Alligator mississippiensis: one gene and its partner. The protein of the gene in region 2 purifies or fractionates together with the protein of the main gene of each other region. This does not show direct contact. Links are inferred from orthologs where the notes say so. Each region holds a gene or a part of one and is shown on either strand. Other genes may lie near its edges.

The links.
Region 1: the proteins of ITPR1 (region 2) and ERLIN2 purify together in Homo sapiens (affinity purification with western blotting, with the first as the bait; 4 studies listed by BioGRID). This does not show direct contact. The link is inferred for Alligator mississippiensis from reciprocal best matches to the Homo sapiens genes ITPR1 and ERLIN2.

Annotation. Positions count from the first base shown.
Region 1 is NC_081830.1:21,399,321-21,406,991, reverse strand, and holds the start of ERLIN2 (erlin-2), read right to left. Parts: upstream 3,554-7,671; 5' UTR 3,540-3,553; coding exon 3,495-3,539; intron 3,466-3,494; exon of another isoform or gene 3,231-3,465; intron 2,846-3,230; coding exon 2,724-2,845; intron 559-2,723; coding exon 477-558; intron 1-476. UniProt on the Homo sapiens protein: Component of the ERLIN1/ERLIN2 complex which mediates the endoplasmic reticulum-associated degradation (ERAD) of inositol 1,4,5-trisphosphate receptors (IP3Rs) such as ITPR1.
Region 2 is NC_081835.1:11,702,123-11,710,045, forward strand, and holds the start of ITPR1 (inositol 1,4,5-trisphosphate receptor type 1), read left to right. Parts: upstream 1-4,599; 5' UTR 4,600-4,673; intron 4,674-7,923. UniProt on the Homo sapiens protein: Inositol 1,4,5-trisphosphate-gated calcium channel that, upon inositol 1,4,5-trisphosphate binding, mediates calcium release from the endoplasmic reticulum (ER).

The DNA of each region.
Region 1 (7,671 bases), on a different chromosome or scaffold from region 2:
CACAAGCCAAGTGCTATTTTAGGTCCTTTGCTTAAGCAACTTCTTTGCCATGAGACCGGTTATTGCCCCAACTTCTTCACTAAGTTGTGCCCCTTTGTTCCCAAAGACCAAGCAGCAGAACCAAGTATGCTTCTTTCAGTTCTTCCCTGTCTTCCTAGCCAGTATTGGAGTCCCAGGAGAGAGCAGAAGTACTGTGTGACTTTCTGTGGGAAGCCCCCAGCCTCTCTGTTGGACCGCTCAGTCTCTTGTGTGAGAACCGTCTGGGGAAAGGCTGGAGCAGGCTGTGGAGCAGACCCTGCAGCAGGCGGTGGGGACTAAGAGAGGCTGAGGCAGGGAGGACTGTCAGGCCAGGGTAAATCTATGGAGGTGGAAATGCCACGCAGAAGGCAATTTATAGGGTGTGTTTGGTCTTCTGCTCTGGGGTGAAATTCCCCAGACATTCAGCAGAAGCCTTAAACAAACAAATGAAAGTTTACCTGAACAGACTTGAAAGAGGTTATGAAGGGGAGCATAAGATGGAAGCCGGGTCCGCTGGTTGATGTTAGCAGCGCACCACCTCTGCAGGAAGAGAGAGAAGGACAGAACGGGGCTGCATCAGAATAAGTTGCTAATACCGTAAGTGAAGCACGAAAGTACAGATTCACTGAAATGATAAACCAGCCTTGCCCTTCACTCCCAGAGCACTGACAGACACCTGAGTATTTGTAAGCTGTGCCTGGATAGCTTCCTCCTCTGATTTAAGTTCACAGCAGTTTGTGCTCTGTGAATACACAAATGCTCACAGATGTTTTAAACAAGGAAGCACTGGAGCCGCATGCGTTCACCCTGCCTTTGATAAATGGAAAACTCCTCTTGGCAGTTGGTTTTCCTTTACCACAAACTGCATTCAGGCCCCTCGGTATCAAACACGCCTCTCCTCCTGTGACATGGCAGACATAGCGGGTTTGAAAATCTCTTCACAATTGCACTCAAAACCCAACTACAATAAATACGAGCAGTGAATCCTCCAACCACTGACTGACAGGCAGAAAGCCTGCCAGCTTCAGAAAGCGGATGGAGGCCGAATAAAGGCAACTGATTAAAAACAAACAGCTAGATACAGTACACTGCATAGGAACCTTTCTCTTCTGAATCATTACTACAGAACCAGCCCAGGCTGGAGGGAACCAGAAGTTATTAGTGCTCGAGGGCTGTCCAGCGAGTGGGGAGACAGTCTTGAGACAGATTCCAAAGGACAAGCAATCATACCACAAAACATCACTGCACTTAGCACTACTCTGCCCTCTCACCAGCAACCACAACGGAGGGTCTGAGCAATGAGTGAACCACAGGAAAGATCCTCCCAAGTCAGGGCTAAGAATACAGGGAAGGCGGCTTTGCACTGCCAGTGTTGCATCTTATCTGCCAACAGAGTGAAGGTGTGGGGGGCTGCGGGTGTGCGTGTGGGGTTTGGAGCCCAGGAAAGGAGCTCCAACGTCCTGGAAGGATGCAGGGTACTGTGGGTCAAGAGAGAGGGGCAGCAGCAGGGGGTAGGGGGGCTGTGATTTGGGAATGAGGGGCAGACACACAGAGACCCAGACACAGATAGCACCCAGCTGGTAAGCAGAGGGGAAGGGGCGAAGTGGGGTACAGATTGGGGCTCCCACAGCAAGGGAGGGAGTGGAGCAGGGGCTGAGGTGAATGGAACCCTAGGGCCGGGGCAGGTTATCGAGTGTTGTGATGGGGAGCACCTCTCCACAGCTGCACGCACCCCGAGGGGAGGCATGGGGGCATGTGCCCTCTATGGGGCAGAGGCAGGCTGCCCGCTGCCGGCTCAAGGCTCTGTACCCTGCTGCCTTTGCTCCAGGAGCAGCGCAACACCACTGCTGCCCGCTGGGCAGGCAGGGGATGCGGGGCGCACTGGCTACACAGTACGTGCCCTGCCTGCCCAGTACCAGGAAACATACTGGCATCACATGGCTGAGCTCCCAGGGCAAGGGCAGCAGGGCACAGAGCCCCAGCCTGCCTCTGCTCTATGTGGGGCATGTGCCCCTCATGCTTCCCCCAGGGATACACACAGCTCCAGGGAGCCATGCCCCCTCCCTCCACACCTCTGGATGACCTGCCCCAGCCTCAGGGCCCCATTCATCCCAACCCCTGCCCAAGTCCCTCCCTCACCACAGGGGCCTCAATCTGTGGCAGCCCCCCCTCTACGGACTGACCAGCTGCGAAAACTTGGAGAGTTCAGGGTGTGATTGGGAGATCATGAGTCGGAACTATTTTGATTTAGAAATCGCGAGTCTCGCAATGTCTTCATGAAGGTTGGCATTATTGCATCAGGCCTGCTGCTCTCACCAGCGTGCTGCTATTCCTTTCTTCACACAACAGCTTGCTGAGACCAGAACTTGAACTTCTGGTGTTTCTGCTAACGCTACTGATAACATCAAAAGCTTTGGAGCAGAGCAGAGCTGAAAGCCTCCTGCCAATTTAAGTCTTAGGCACTTGTCATCCACTCTTCTGTGGACAGCAATGATGACTGAACTCAGACTTTATAAGATACTGGATTTCTGGCGATTAAAGCTGGACACATCCTTACTAATTTGGGAGTGCAAATGTTATCTTTTCCTCCTTCTGCCCCAGTCGACCAGCATATTGTCTTCAGATAAGCAATCTCCAGGACAGCAGCTTCAAAACACCATGACACCAACCCCCCCCCCCCCCTTTTTTTTTTGCAGGCCTCTTACCTATAATAAACGCCAATATGTCCTTCTTCAATTTTGTGTATGGCAGAGAAGAACGCCGCAGCCACAAAACTCACAGTCACTGCTGCTATAGCACCTAACTGAGCCATCCCTGAGAGTAAGCCCTGAGGTAACAAAAAGGAGGACACGCATGGTCACAGCTGGACATGAAGGGGAGAGGTTTATTACAGGCAGGGAGCTGAACAGCAACAGAGGCAGGACTCTGCACTCCTGCTTCGCTGGCGTTTCTGGGCGGTCGGGGCTTCCCCAGCTTGACCAACAGGGACAGCAGAGCTAACGCAACCCCCATTGCAAAGCGACTATAATGCAGGGAGCGGACGGAGCCCGGGAGTCCTGCCATGACCCCTCTCGCTCTTGCTTGGCTTTGTGCAAATAACCTTTGCTTCCCGCCCTCCCGTGCCAGGGCTGCAGCTCTGCAATCACCCAGCCAAACATTAGCCGAGGTGCGTCCCAAACCCCGTCCTCGGCCTGCGCAGCGAGGCCGCGTACCACCGGTGCCTCCTAGCTTGCCCCTGCACAGGGGAGGGGGCTGCTCCAGGCCGGACGTCCTGAATGAGGCAGGGGCTGGGAGGCCCAGGCCTTGTCTCCCCCCAGCCCCAGGCAGCAGGCAATAGGGCTGCTAATCTGCGAAGAGGATCCACCCCAGGGCTGGCCACTAATCCTGGCCCCAGCCACTGCCCCCGTGCCCTTGGGCTGCCCAGGCCGGGGGGCGGGGACACGTGCTCTCCCCAGGCCCGCAGGGCCCACACTCACCGCCTCCTGCCGCAGCGCTTCCGGGTGTCGCGCCGGTGACGCCATCACTACGCGCCGCGCCGCCCCGCCCAGCCCAGCCCTGCAGTTCCAGCGGCCGCGCCTGCAGGGGGCGCCAAAGCTCCACCTCCGCCAGGACCCGCGGGAGCGCGCCCCGCCCCGCCCCGCCCCGCCCTGCCTGCGGCCCGGTGCTGCTGCTGGGGCTGGCCGGAGGGGGGCAGCAAAGCCCGGCCAAAATGCACCCCCGGCTTTAGGGGCAGGGGCGCTGGGGCACCTAAAGTCATCTGCCTCCCTGGCTGCTTGCATGGAGGGGCCCCTGCCAGGATCCTGCCCCTCCAAGCCAGCTGTAAGCTGCAGGCACCACGGCTTGAACCTCTGGGTTTATGTACATGTAGGTGTGTGTATAAATAAAAAAATATATTTTGAAAACTTTTTCAAAATATAAACTAAATACACATACATATACATACACACACACACACGTGTGTGCACACACCCATATCTATACACATATACCTACACACACACATATGACCTGGAGAGGGTTCAGAGGAGGGCCACTCATCTGGTTAAAGGCCTACAGAAAACCCGCTACGTGGACCGATTGGGAGACCTGGACCTCTTCAGCCTCCGCAAGAGGAGGCTGAGAGGTGATCTCAAAGCCGCCTACAAACTCATGGTGGGGGCAGCAAGAAATAGGGCAGGGGTGGGCAAAATGCAGCCCGGGGGCTGGATGCGGCCTGCCAGGCCATTCTATCCAGCCCGCGGGGCCCCTAAAAAACTTAGAACATGAATATTAATCTGCCCCTGGCTGCCTGTCATGCGGCCCTCGATGGCTTGCTAAAACTCAGTAAGTGGCCCCCTGTCCAAAATAATTGCCCGTGCCTGAGATAGGGGATACAATGTTTACCAGGGAGCCTGTTGGTGTAACCAGAAATAATGGCCACAGACTGAAGGAGAGCAAATTCAGATTGGACATCAGGAAAAAATTCTTTAGAGTGAGGGTTGCCAAAATATGGAATAGGCTTCCAAGGGAGGTGGTGCTGTCCCCTTCCTTGGAGGTGTTTAGAAGGAGATTGGACAGACACCTGGCTGAGGTCATCCGACCCCAGCACTCATTCCTGCCCAGGGCAGGGGGCTGGACTCGATGATCTAATAGGTCCCTTCTGACCCCAACATCTATAAAACTATGAAGTCTATGAAGCTATATACACATATATCTACACACACGCACACACACACATGTGCGTATATATAGATACATTTTTCCCAGGTGTCCCAGGTCAAATTAGCCAGATCGCTTCTGAATCCTTTGAATTGTTCAAAAGCCTTACGTGGTCGTATTACCCACAGGTATCCTCCACTGCAGACTTCCAAATCCTTCGGCAGGCATCCTACATTCAGGCCCAGGCCCAGAGGTTTGGGGTTTGGATGCCCCTGAGTTTCACTTGCCCTCAGCCGTAGGGCCGCAGGAGCAAGCTAGGGAGGAGTCTTCCATTGCCATCGGGTTGGGGTGTAGCCAAGGTCCTCCTGCTGGAAGCTGGCCAGTGGGAAGCTAACTGAGAGGCTCTTGTAGGGAGTCCTGTTTGCATGCAGATGGGGGCGCACCCTCTGCTACACAGTGCCATTTTAAAATGCATTTTGGCTCAGGTATCAGACCAGTGCAGCAACAACTACACTTGATCCTAGCCCAGAAAAGGCTGAGAACTTCTGTCGTCAAGTGTTCAGCAAAGGGACCTACCTGCTCTGCCTTTTCCCTTCCCTCTGTTGCGGTGTTTCATCAGGCAGTCAAGTTAGGAGGATGTGTGGGGTCAGAAGATCGGCCAAGCAAAGAACCTAATAACTGCCATGGGCCGGGCCAGATCCTAGCCTAGGTCCGTGGCAGCCAAGAGTGCACACTGAAAGGCAGTGGAAACAGGGTCCACCCAATGTTTTCTTGTGCTGCTCCTCTCCCATTTGCCGCCTCCGGCACTGATGGTCTGGGAAGCTCTGATTCAGACGTGGTGCCCCTTGCTCCCGTGCTCAATAGCCCCTTTCCTTGAAGAATAGGAGGGCGTGGGGCTTCGAGGACTAAGTGTTACCTAGCGTGTGGGAGGGTCTGGCTTCTAGTCCCTAGGCCTGCTGAAGCTCCCTTATGGCAGCCCTGTTCATTTTATCCAATGCATGTAAAACACAGGGGCCAGGGCCAGAACCTGTGGCCCACTGTTTTCCAGGACAGTGCCCCCCTTTGCTTATCACGCTCTCTAGAGCTTGTTTATTTCCTAGCCCCATATATCTTCCCTTCGTAGCTCCCCAGGGAAGCAATCTTGACAGGAGGCCACCTGGGACAATGCCAAACCTATGGCCTGCTGTTTAGGGCAATTTCCTGCAAAAGACACCGCAGATTCAAGCCTCCCTATTGGTGATGGGCAGGGCGGGTACCACTTCTGCAAAAGCCGCAGAGCTGCAATTCCTGTTCCAGGTGGGACAGGACTGCAGGGAGCATGGAGAGCGTAGGATCCAAACACCTGTGCAGATTTCACACCTACCTGCTGATAAGTAAGGGCTGCATTTGGGCCTTTGCTGGCATGTTACAGGGTGTGACAGCTGGTTAGCAAAGTCAGGGCTCCCGGGATACTGAGAGAACCGCAGAGCCTGCAACCTGGGAGAAGCCTGCATCCCAAAGTGAGCCTGGGGTTAGGCACAAAACCTGCCTCTCTTTTCCAAGTCCTCTCTATACAGGAGAGATTTCAGCAAGTTTTCTTAGGAATCAAAAACTCCTTAACTCCCCCTGATGGACACTAATCCAATGTCAGTCTCCAGCTGCAAAGTGGCTGTTAGACCGTGTCACAAATGCCGAGCCTCTCTTTTATTCTGGGTTTGACAAATCTGTAGGTGATTTAAAAAATCTGTTCCCTATTTAGATGCCTGTTGGGCCAGGCGGAGGAGCCAGAATGGGGAAAGTGACAGACCATGCAAAAATCTATTAAATCTTCTGCTTCTATAATTGTTGAAGGGGACTTAGAAAACATAGAAAAGACATATAAAATGTCAATAAAGGAGAATAATTTGATCTTTACACTCGATAGATCTCTAAGCATATATATTACAAACCTGTCAGAAGAATTCAGCGCCGTTCAGAAAGAAGGAATGAAAGAGCCATGATATTTGTCAATCCAAATTTTACAGCCTTTAAATAAGTGCAAAAGGGCGCCTGTGATGAAATATGCCCTGCATTAGATGTTTTAAATGCTTGCCCAGATTTAAGTCCTTGATAAAATGTATTAAATCTTTAAAGGTTTTAATGAATCTAGTATGTGTTTCATAAATCAAGAACCTCTGCTCAGCCCCCTCTCAGTTTAATAAGGGTAAACTAGGAAATTGCTTTGAGCTGAAGCAAAATGCATTCGTATAATATTGGAAAGTAATAGATTTTTAAATGCAGGGTGTTTTTTTGGCTGGCAGATGAGGTTTTGCTTCATAACACTCAAGCCTATATCATTACTCTAAATGGGAAACCATCTGTGGCCACGTGCTTAACAGTATCAAGATGTGAATTTGCACAAAGGTAAATATTATTTGTAATAATCCCAGAAAAAAATAGCCAAAAAATCATTACTTTGAGACCCCAGGCCAGGAACGTTCGGTGGTGTCTGCTACAGATCTCGCTGGCTTTTAACAGCTTGGGTTTTTTTAGGTTAACAAATGGTTCATTACAGCCACTTCTCTCCAGCACTCGAGAGCTTTCTTTGCAAGCCTCGGCTCCTCGGTGCCCTGTAGAAGTGCAGCCAGGATAAAAATATTCTGTGGGTTTTACTGCAAAGCTAATTGAGACAAGTTTGAAGGTCTTTGAAATCTGCTTGTTAACGCCATTGTCTCCAGCCTGTCTGCAGGAGGGGCAAGAAAGTCACTCCCCTTTTAATAAAGGTGCAATATTTTATTTCATTACCTTTCCCCTCGCCCTTTACAAGCCCTGGCTATAAAAGCATGAAAGGGAAGGCTTGATAATGGATTATAACAGGTGGACAAACACCGTGTTAAAAGTGAGTTGGCTCTTTGTCTATTGTCTTAGGGGAAACCAAACATTCTTTGCTCTTTGTGTACGAAAGCTTGCGGTGTTGTTAAGCTCTGCGGGAGACAAACTGGGGGCCCCATAAAGTGCTGTGTAAAAGTCTGTCTAACCTCATTAACTGTCACAAGT
Region 2 (7,923 bases):
AGGAGGAGATGAACAGAGAGGGGTATGAGGGAGCTCACCAAGCAACTCTGAAGTAACAAACTGAGATCTTGTCTGACAAAAGTGCCAATGGACCACCTCCACACCTCCTCTGCGTCCCCTGGTCAGTGCCATGTTGGCAGAGACATACTCACTGGCAATGCAAGGCACAGGCATCATCTGCATCCTTGCCCATTCCAGACCAAGCTTGTACAGAACAAGGAAAACTGTGGCTAAATGTTCACAAGCCTCTGAGTGTTCCCTGCTCCCGAAGCAGCTTGCACTTTCCTTCAGGGTGCAATTTGAAAAGCGTTCATAATGCGGCTGGCAAAAGCATTGGCAAGATGCTTTTGGCATGTTTTTTTTCATGTTCTTAGCACACAGATTGTGCAGTGACTGCCCTTGTTTGCACTGAATGATTCCATTTTCTTTCTCATTTTAATTGCATGAGTTAAGGTGTTTATTACTCTTAACAGTTGATTTATTGAGAAATGATGCACCATGCCCCCTTCCGCACAGAGAAGGTATGATGGAAGGTTTGTATAGTGGTTGTTTACATGCCATTATCATTCTTCTAAACTGCACATAGTAAAAAACAAGGAAAATGAAATACGCACTCCAAGACTTAAGGCCCCTATCAGCCAAATGAGTCCAGTGGATTCTGGTCCACTGCCCCTTGGGAATGCAGATGGTTTGGTTTTCTTGGTGATTGTTTGGTGGTTCAGATTCAAGAGACCACTTACCTGGTGAGGCCTTCTCCTGTGCAGTACTCAGCACACACAGTGATGCTAGGAATATTTAACTCATCGAGGACCAGCCTAGTCATGAGGCACTGGTAGTGTCCATCCAGTAGACCAGAAGAATATTCAAGAGCCATTCTGTACTTGTTTTGAAAGCAGCTGAATCCTTCCTTAAATCACTAGCTTTGCCAAGTCCCCCAGTATCAATGCTATCAATAGCAATGTGCTTATGAAGGAAGAATGCTTTGTTTGCATCGTTTGGTAAAATCCTCTGCTCCTGAAGGCATGAGCACAAGGCACTTTCCCTGACCAGCTAGCAGAGGGGTTGGCAATGTTTTTGGGACAAGTGCCAAAAACACCCACAGCCTCAATTTGTAAGGTGTTGGCGTGCTGGGGGCAGATGGCAGAGCAGCCAGGAGGGGGGCCTGATCCTTGTTGTGGCTGCGCAGCCCCAGCCCCTTCCCCATCATTTGCCCCGAGGTGTGCATGCACACACTGCCGGCAACGAGTTAGACCAGGGCTCTGTGGACCCTGGTGCAGCTGCTTGCAGCCTCCTGGCTGCCTGCCACAATCAGCCCAGGCTCTGGGCAGACCACTGATGCCTACCGCAGAGCCCAGGCTGCTCGCAGGAAGCGATTGGAGGCTGCTAGCAGCTGTACTGGGGTCTGCAGAGCCCCAGCTTGGCTCGTTGCTGGCGATGGGTGCACGCGCACCTCAGGGCTGCGTTGTCACAACAAGGATCCAGCCCCTCGTGGCACCCTCTGTCTGCCCCAGGCATGCATGCCAAGCAAAAAGCCTTTGAATGCATGTCAGGGGTAGCTTACCCCTGAACTAGCATTAATGTCAGTAACTTTTCCCAATGATCCAACAGCACCTGAATAACCTTGAATAGCTTCCTGAATATGTGCAGAGAGGGAAGATTCATGAAGGGCAGGAGAATCAGGCTATTAGTCCCATGTAGTATCCATCCCAGTTCTCCAAATCCCTGTTTTTTCCTGCACAGTTACCAGTCACAGCCCTATGCACCAGGGAACACTGGATGGCTTTGCACACCTAAAAACCACCAGCATGGACTTTCCAACCTGGAAGTAATTGCTCACTGAACAGTAGCAGACCACGGTTACATGGTCCTGAGTGCAATCACCACCCATTTTTCCAGTCCAAGCAGCTCTCACTGTGGTGTTTCTGAACTACAGAGCTGGGCTGAGCTTGGCGCACAACTCCAGAATTGTGGCATTCCTCATCTAAAAGTTATGTGACCACTGTTGGATCACATCTGAGTCACAATGCTTGCTACTCCTGCTTAGAAATGTTTCAGCTGGTCAGTGACTGCTTGCAACAGCCAGCAAAATTTGTGCACGCACAGCATGTTAATGCACACAGAGTAAAATTGTGGGGTGCTGGCCCCAAGCAGCTTCCACACTGCACAAGTAACTGGCAATTCATTGCATTGGAAAGGGATGGGAGAAGGGACCGGACACTGTGAGACCTGCATTATTGTTTTCACAATTAAACTATATGTAACGAGGACACAGCAGAAAGATGCACAGTACTGGTGACAGGGCCACAGCACCTGTTGTAAGCTGTCAGATAGATGGTTGCATCACTTTCTGGAGTAGACACGGTATAACCTCTAGCTCCAAGGCCATTCTGCTCCCACCTATGTGATGTAAGGGGGAAAAGATGTGGTCATACCGGTGTCCCCGTCAGTCCAATCTGGCCCGCAGAATCTTCATTTACTGGTAAGGCTGTGTGAGGCACAAACACTAGAGATCGCTTTTCAGATGCAAGGACGACCCTGGAAGCTGAAAGACCACGAGGACCTTGTTCTTAGAGCTGGGCCAATTGAAGAAGTCCTGCCGAGGAACTAACCTCAACGCCCTGCTGCTGCTTCTCATATGAGACAGAGCGAGCCACGCTAGTCTGAAGCCTGGTGTTACCCTTGCAGGCTGCCTCTGCAGCACTGCTCCTGAGCCATTGCCCTTTGGCTCCTACCAATGCGGGAGTGGTGGGGACATCCTCTGGTGACCAAGATTGCCCAAGATGGTGCCCCATGGCAGAGCACCCATCTCCAGCAGGTACCGCGCCTTTCTGCCGCCCAGCTCTCTGGCAGCTGTGATGCCTCTCCAGCTGCACGCCAGGAACCCACCCAGGCAGACAACGGTGCTGTGGGCTTCGTCACCACCGCTCCGACCCTCCCACGCACATGACACAGGACCACACGCAGATGGATAGATACATTTTTAGTACCAATGTCGGCTGCCACGCCTGGGGGTGAGGTTGGCGGGGGCGGGGGACGAGACACTGCTGGGGGGTCTTTTGGTTACACCTGGAGGCACACAGCTGGGGGGATCTTCTGGTGCCAATGCCGGTTTTCCTGGGGAGAGACACTGCTGGGGGGGTCTTGTGGTGCCAATGTTAGCTATTTCTGGGGGTGGGGGGTACTGCTGGGGGGATTTTCTAGTGCCAGTGCCAGCTATACATGAGGGGGCACTGCTGGGGGGTCTTCTGGTTACACTTGGGGTGGCACTGCTGGGGGGAGGTCTTCTGGTGCCAGTGCCAGCTATACCTGGGAGGGGGCAATGCTGGGGGGTCCTCTGGTTGTACCTGGGGGGACACTGCTGCGGGGTCTTTTGGTTGCACTTGGGGAAACACTGCTGGGGGGGTCTTCTGGTGCCAGTGCCAACGATACCTGGGGGGACACTGCTGAGGGGGTCTTTTGGTTACATCTGGGGGGACACTGTTGAGGGGTCTTCTGGTGCCAGTGTGCAGCTATACCTTGGAGGACATGGCTGGGTTGTCTTCTGGTGCCAATGCCAGCTATTTTTTTTTTGGGGGGGGGCACTCCTGAGGGGGGTTTCTAGTGCCAGTGCCAGCTATACCTGGGGGGACACTGCTGGGGGGTCTTCTGGTGCCAGTGCCAGTGATACCTGGGGGGACACTGCTGAGAGGGTCTTTTGGTTACATCTGGGGGGACACTGTTGAGGAGTCTTCTGGTGCCAGTGCGCAGCTATACCTTGGAGGACATGGCTGGGTTGTCTTCTGGTGCTAATGCCAGCTATTTTTGGGGAGGGGGGCACTGCTGGGGGGGGGGTCTAGTGCCAGTGCCAGCTATACCGGGGAGGGGGCAATGCTGGGGGGTCCTCTGGTTGTACCTGGGGGGACACTGCTGCGGGGTCTTTTGGTTGCACTTGGGGAAACACTGCTGGGGGGGTCTTCTGGTGCCAGTGCCAGTGATACCTGGGGGGACACTGCTGAGGGGGTCTTTTGGTTACATCTGGGGGGACACTGTTGAGGGGTCTTCCGGTGCCAGTGCGCAGCTATACCTTGGAGGACATGGCTGGGTTGTCTTCTGGTGCCAATGCCAGCTATTTTTTGGGGGGGGGGCACTCCTGAGGGGGGTTTCTAGTGCCAGTGCCAGTGATACCTGGGGGGACACTGCTGAGAGGGTCTTTTGGTTACATCTGGGGGGACACTGTTGAGGAGTCTTCTGGTGCCAGTACGCAACTATACCTTGGAGGACATGGCTGGGTTGTCTTCTGGTGCTAATGCCAGCTATTTTTGGGGAGGGGGGCACTGCTGGGGGGGGTCTAGTGCCAGTGCCAGCTATACCTGGAGGGGCACTGCTGGGGGGTCTGCTGGTGCCAGTGGCAGCCACACCTGGGAGGACTTCTGGTTACACTTAGAGGGACACGGCTGGAGGGGGGGGGGGGTCTCCTGGTGCCGGTGCCAGCTGTACGTGATGGGGTGGGGGGTGCCGTGGTGCGGCGGGGCGGGGCGGGGCGGGGCGGCGCGGCGGGACTACATTACCCAGGCGCCCGGCGCGCACATATAAGCGGGCGCGGAGCGCGGCGGCGGGCGCAGTCAGCATGTGTGCGGGCGGCGCGCGGCGCGGGGCGGGCGGGAGCATGGCAGCGCCGGGTGGCTGCTGAGCAGGTAGGACGGGCATCCTCCCGGTGGCGGGCACGTGGCGGGGAGAGCTCCCCGGGGGATGCTTTGGGCACAGCCCGCTGCCCCTGGTCCTTCTCCTTCCTGCCGCTTCGTCCCTGGGGCTGGTCCAGCTGCCCTGCTGCAGTGGGGGCTGGGGCCCTGGCTGCTCGGGCTGGGCTGGGCTGGGCTGCAGGTGCGGGCTGCACAGGTGGGCTAGGCCCGAGGGCAGGAGACGGGCGGGCGGCCGTGGGCTGAAGCGTCCGGCTCCTCCTGGCAGGGCGAGGGGTGTCGAGGGCTAGATGTGGGGACACGGAAGGAAAAGCAGGAGTGGGATGACACGGGGCGCGTGTAACGGGGACGCGCGGCCGCTGGCGCGAGCGGAGGAGTGTGAGGAAGTCGCTTGTTTATGTGAGCTGAACTTGCTTCCCGGGCAGAGATGTTGGATTCTTGCGAGTCCCCGTCCACGGATCCGGAGCCCGGGCGAGAGACGTGCCGTGTCCTGGGCAGACGGGATCCGCGGCGGAGGCAGGAGCCGAGCTTGGGGGAGATCCAGCAGTCCCTTTCTCAGCCCAATAAATCACTGCGTTTGTATACTGGAAAACCGTTTTAGTTGATTGGGTGGGGGGAAACAAAAAATGCTGCCTGAAGTCAAGTGGTTCTGGATGAGACGGATGTAACTTGCATGTTTTCAGCTCGGCTGTTTCTCCCCCGCCCTGCCTTCAGAAAACAACCCAAGTACATGAGATTTCTTTTTTCAGACCATCTTAAGCTTGAAGGGACTCGGATTTGGGTGAGGCCTGCGCCTCTGCCACGATGGTTTAGGGGGAATGTGTTAGAACTAACTTTTTATAGCTTTTTTTATGCTTGACACGGAGTTATAGGGATGTTTTGTATTATGTAAACACACATGAATGCTATTGGAGAACTTGGCTATAGACGATCATATTCTTTAAATGGTCAAATGCTGGGCAGTTGTAACCACGACCCTCCAAAATATCCACCCACAAGTACTAAATATTTAGTGGTTTCCTGGACTACAATAACTAGACTTAAGGAGGGTAGGGAGGGGGTCGGGGAAGAAATCCAGTGCTTCGCAACTCTCTGCTGTTTTGCATCCTGTTGATAAAAGCCTAATTATTTGCTAGCTACTTTGGACATTTTTGGATTTGGTTGCTTGTTTAAGTCCCGTCCTGTCGTTCCTCTGAACATGTGGAGATATTACATCTGGTCTAATGCAACAGCTTGTGGTCTCCTAGGAGGAAGTGGGGGGGGGGGGGGACTTTCCTGTATAGTACTAAGTATGTAACAGCCAGTTTAGTGGAACAGTACAGGGTTAGGCCTGGCCCCCTGACACAGACACACCGTTCTCATGGCTGCATCAAATAATTTTGCCATCCAGTCCCACAGCCTGGGTATGTGCAGTGGGTTGTGCTGTAGGACAAAGTAGCAAATCAGAAAGACAACGGCCTGTGGACTCCAGATGTGACAGACTTCCTAAAATCTGGCTGCTGGGGCACAGGGAGTCCATTTCCAAATGAAAAGCAGACATGTTGAGATGTGAATTTTGGAGAAGTGAAGGCTTTGCTCAGGGTTGTTCGGTATCCCCTGTCTTCTTCCAACACTGGGCATATCTGTTGTGCCTGGACTGTGCTCACAACCTGCCTGCTCCATGTGTCTTACCCAGGGAGGGGGGATGCACTGTGGCCACTATTAGGGGTCCTGGGCCTTTGCAGTAATTGTTGTGTCTGGGCATACTTGAATGCTTCTGGCCCCTTGCTGGAGGACTATACTACTATGGTCTGGGGGCGGTCAAGACATGCCCTTATTGTTTTTGATAAGGCAGCAGATAAATTTTCTCTCAACAGGTGTGTGCATGGCATGCCTTCCCCAGGAGCCTATGGTTCAAAGCCCTTAATTCTGCACCCTTCTTGTTTTCTTGCTAAGTCCAGAGTGCAAGGGGTGCAAGATGCACCCTTTGAGACTTAACCTGCCTAGGACAAAAGAAATGCACTTCTGTGGATGATGAAATGGGCATTGTCCATTGTTTTGTTTTAAGCACTGCTTTGCTTGAAACTCATCTCAGGGGGTCAGAGTAAATGGTCATCAAGTACGCTGTTCCTGTGTGCTCGGTGGGTAACAATGCTGCATGCTTACAGTGAAGTGCCAGTGGCCTCACACCAGTTGCCTGGCCAATACTGACAATAGCTGTGAGCGCTGCCTTCAGGAGATCTGATATGACACACAGGGCATATTTCTCCGAGCTTCGCTTGTTGTCAAAGGAGATGTGAGCGGAGCGAGTCGGTCAGTGGAAAGCGGCGGTGTGGGCAGGGGTTCTGTATGTGGGTAACTTTGGCATATGCCAAGCAGCAAAGGACAGACTGAGTTGGTGGGGGGGTGCTGGATGAAGTTTGAGAACTGCTTCCTTGTTTTTTCAAAGCAGCCCTCAAATAGGGCCCACCTGGGAATCTGACCTTCTGACATGGTCTTTATTGGATGAATAATCCAGTTTGTTTTTTCTCTTCAATCTGCCATTCCACCGCTGACATTAGACCCGGCCTGTTTACATGAAAGTGTTTTCCGTCTGCTGGTAGTGCAGCAATCGTTAACTCTTGAAATATGGAGCTGTTTGGACCCCTTTTATGCTGGTACTCGGGAGGAAGTCAACAAAACAGTGTGATTAGCTTCAGTTTGCCTTTGAAACATGAGGGAGGAGCCAAAGTGTGGGAAATGGCTTTTTTTTCTCTGTAACCAGCTACTTTTACATACGGTCAGGAGAGGGTGGGGAAGAGAGTTCAGAAATAATTAACACCTTGTCAGTTTGCTTCTTCAAGAACTAATGCTGGAGCCAGGCATCTGTTTGGCAAGGTCGTACTGTCCTTGGACAAACCCTATTCAATGGCAATGGTGCACTGAGATCAGCAAGTAGAATAGGCTGTGTTATGAATTGTAGTTATGGTCTGTGGGCAAAAAAACGTGGAGAGTGCTGCCAGAGTTGTCTATGCTGCTTTTTTCCCACGATTCTCTCCCATGTCTTGAGGTAGAGTTGATGTATTTGTTGGCAAAGCATGCTGCAGTTCTGTGAGGTGGAAAGCATTCACAGGTATGTCCTGGTAGGGGTTATGCTTCTGAGGGCAGAAGGGATCTGGAGATCCTACGTGAGATGGAGTGACGCTGGGGCTTGTATATTAGATGTGCTAGTGGCTGTTTCTTAGTAATGGGTATGTGGGTGAGAGTGAGGGAAAGCAGCTTATGGAGA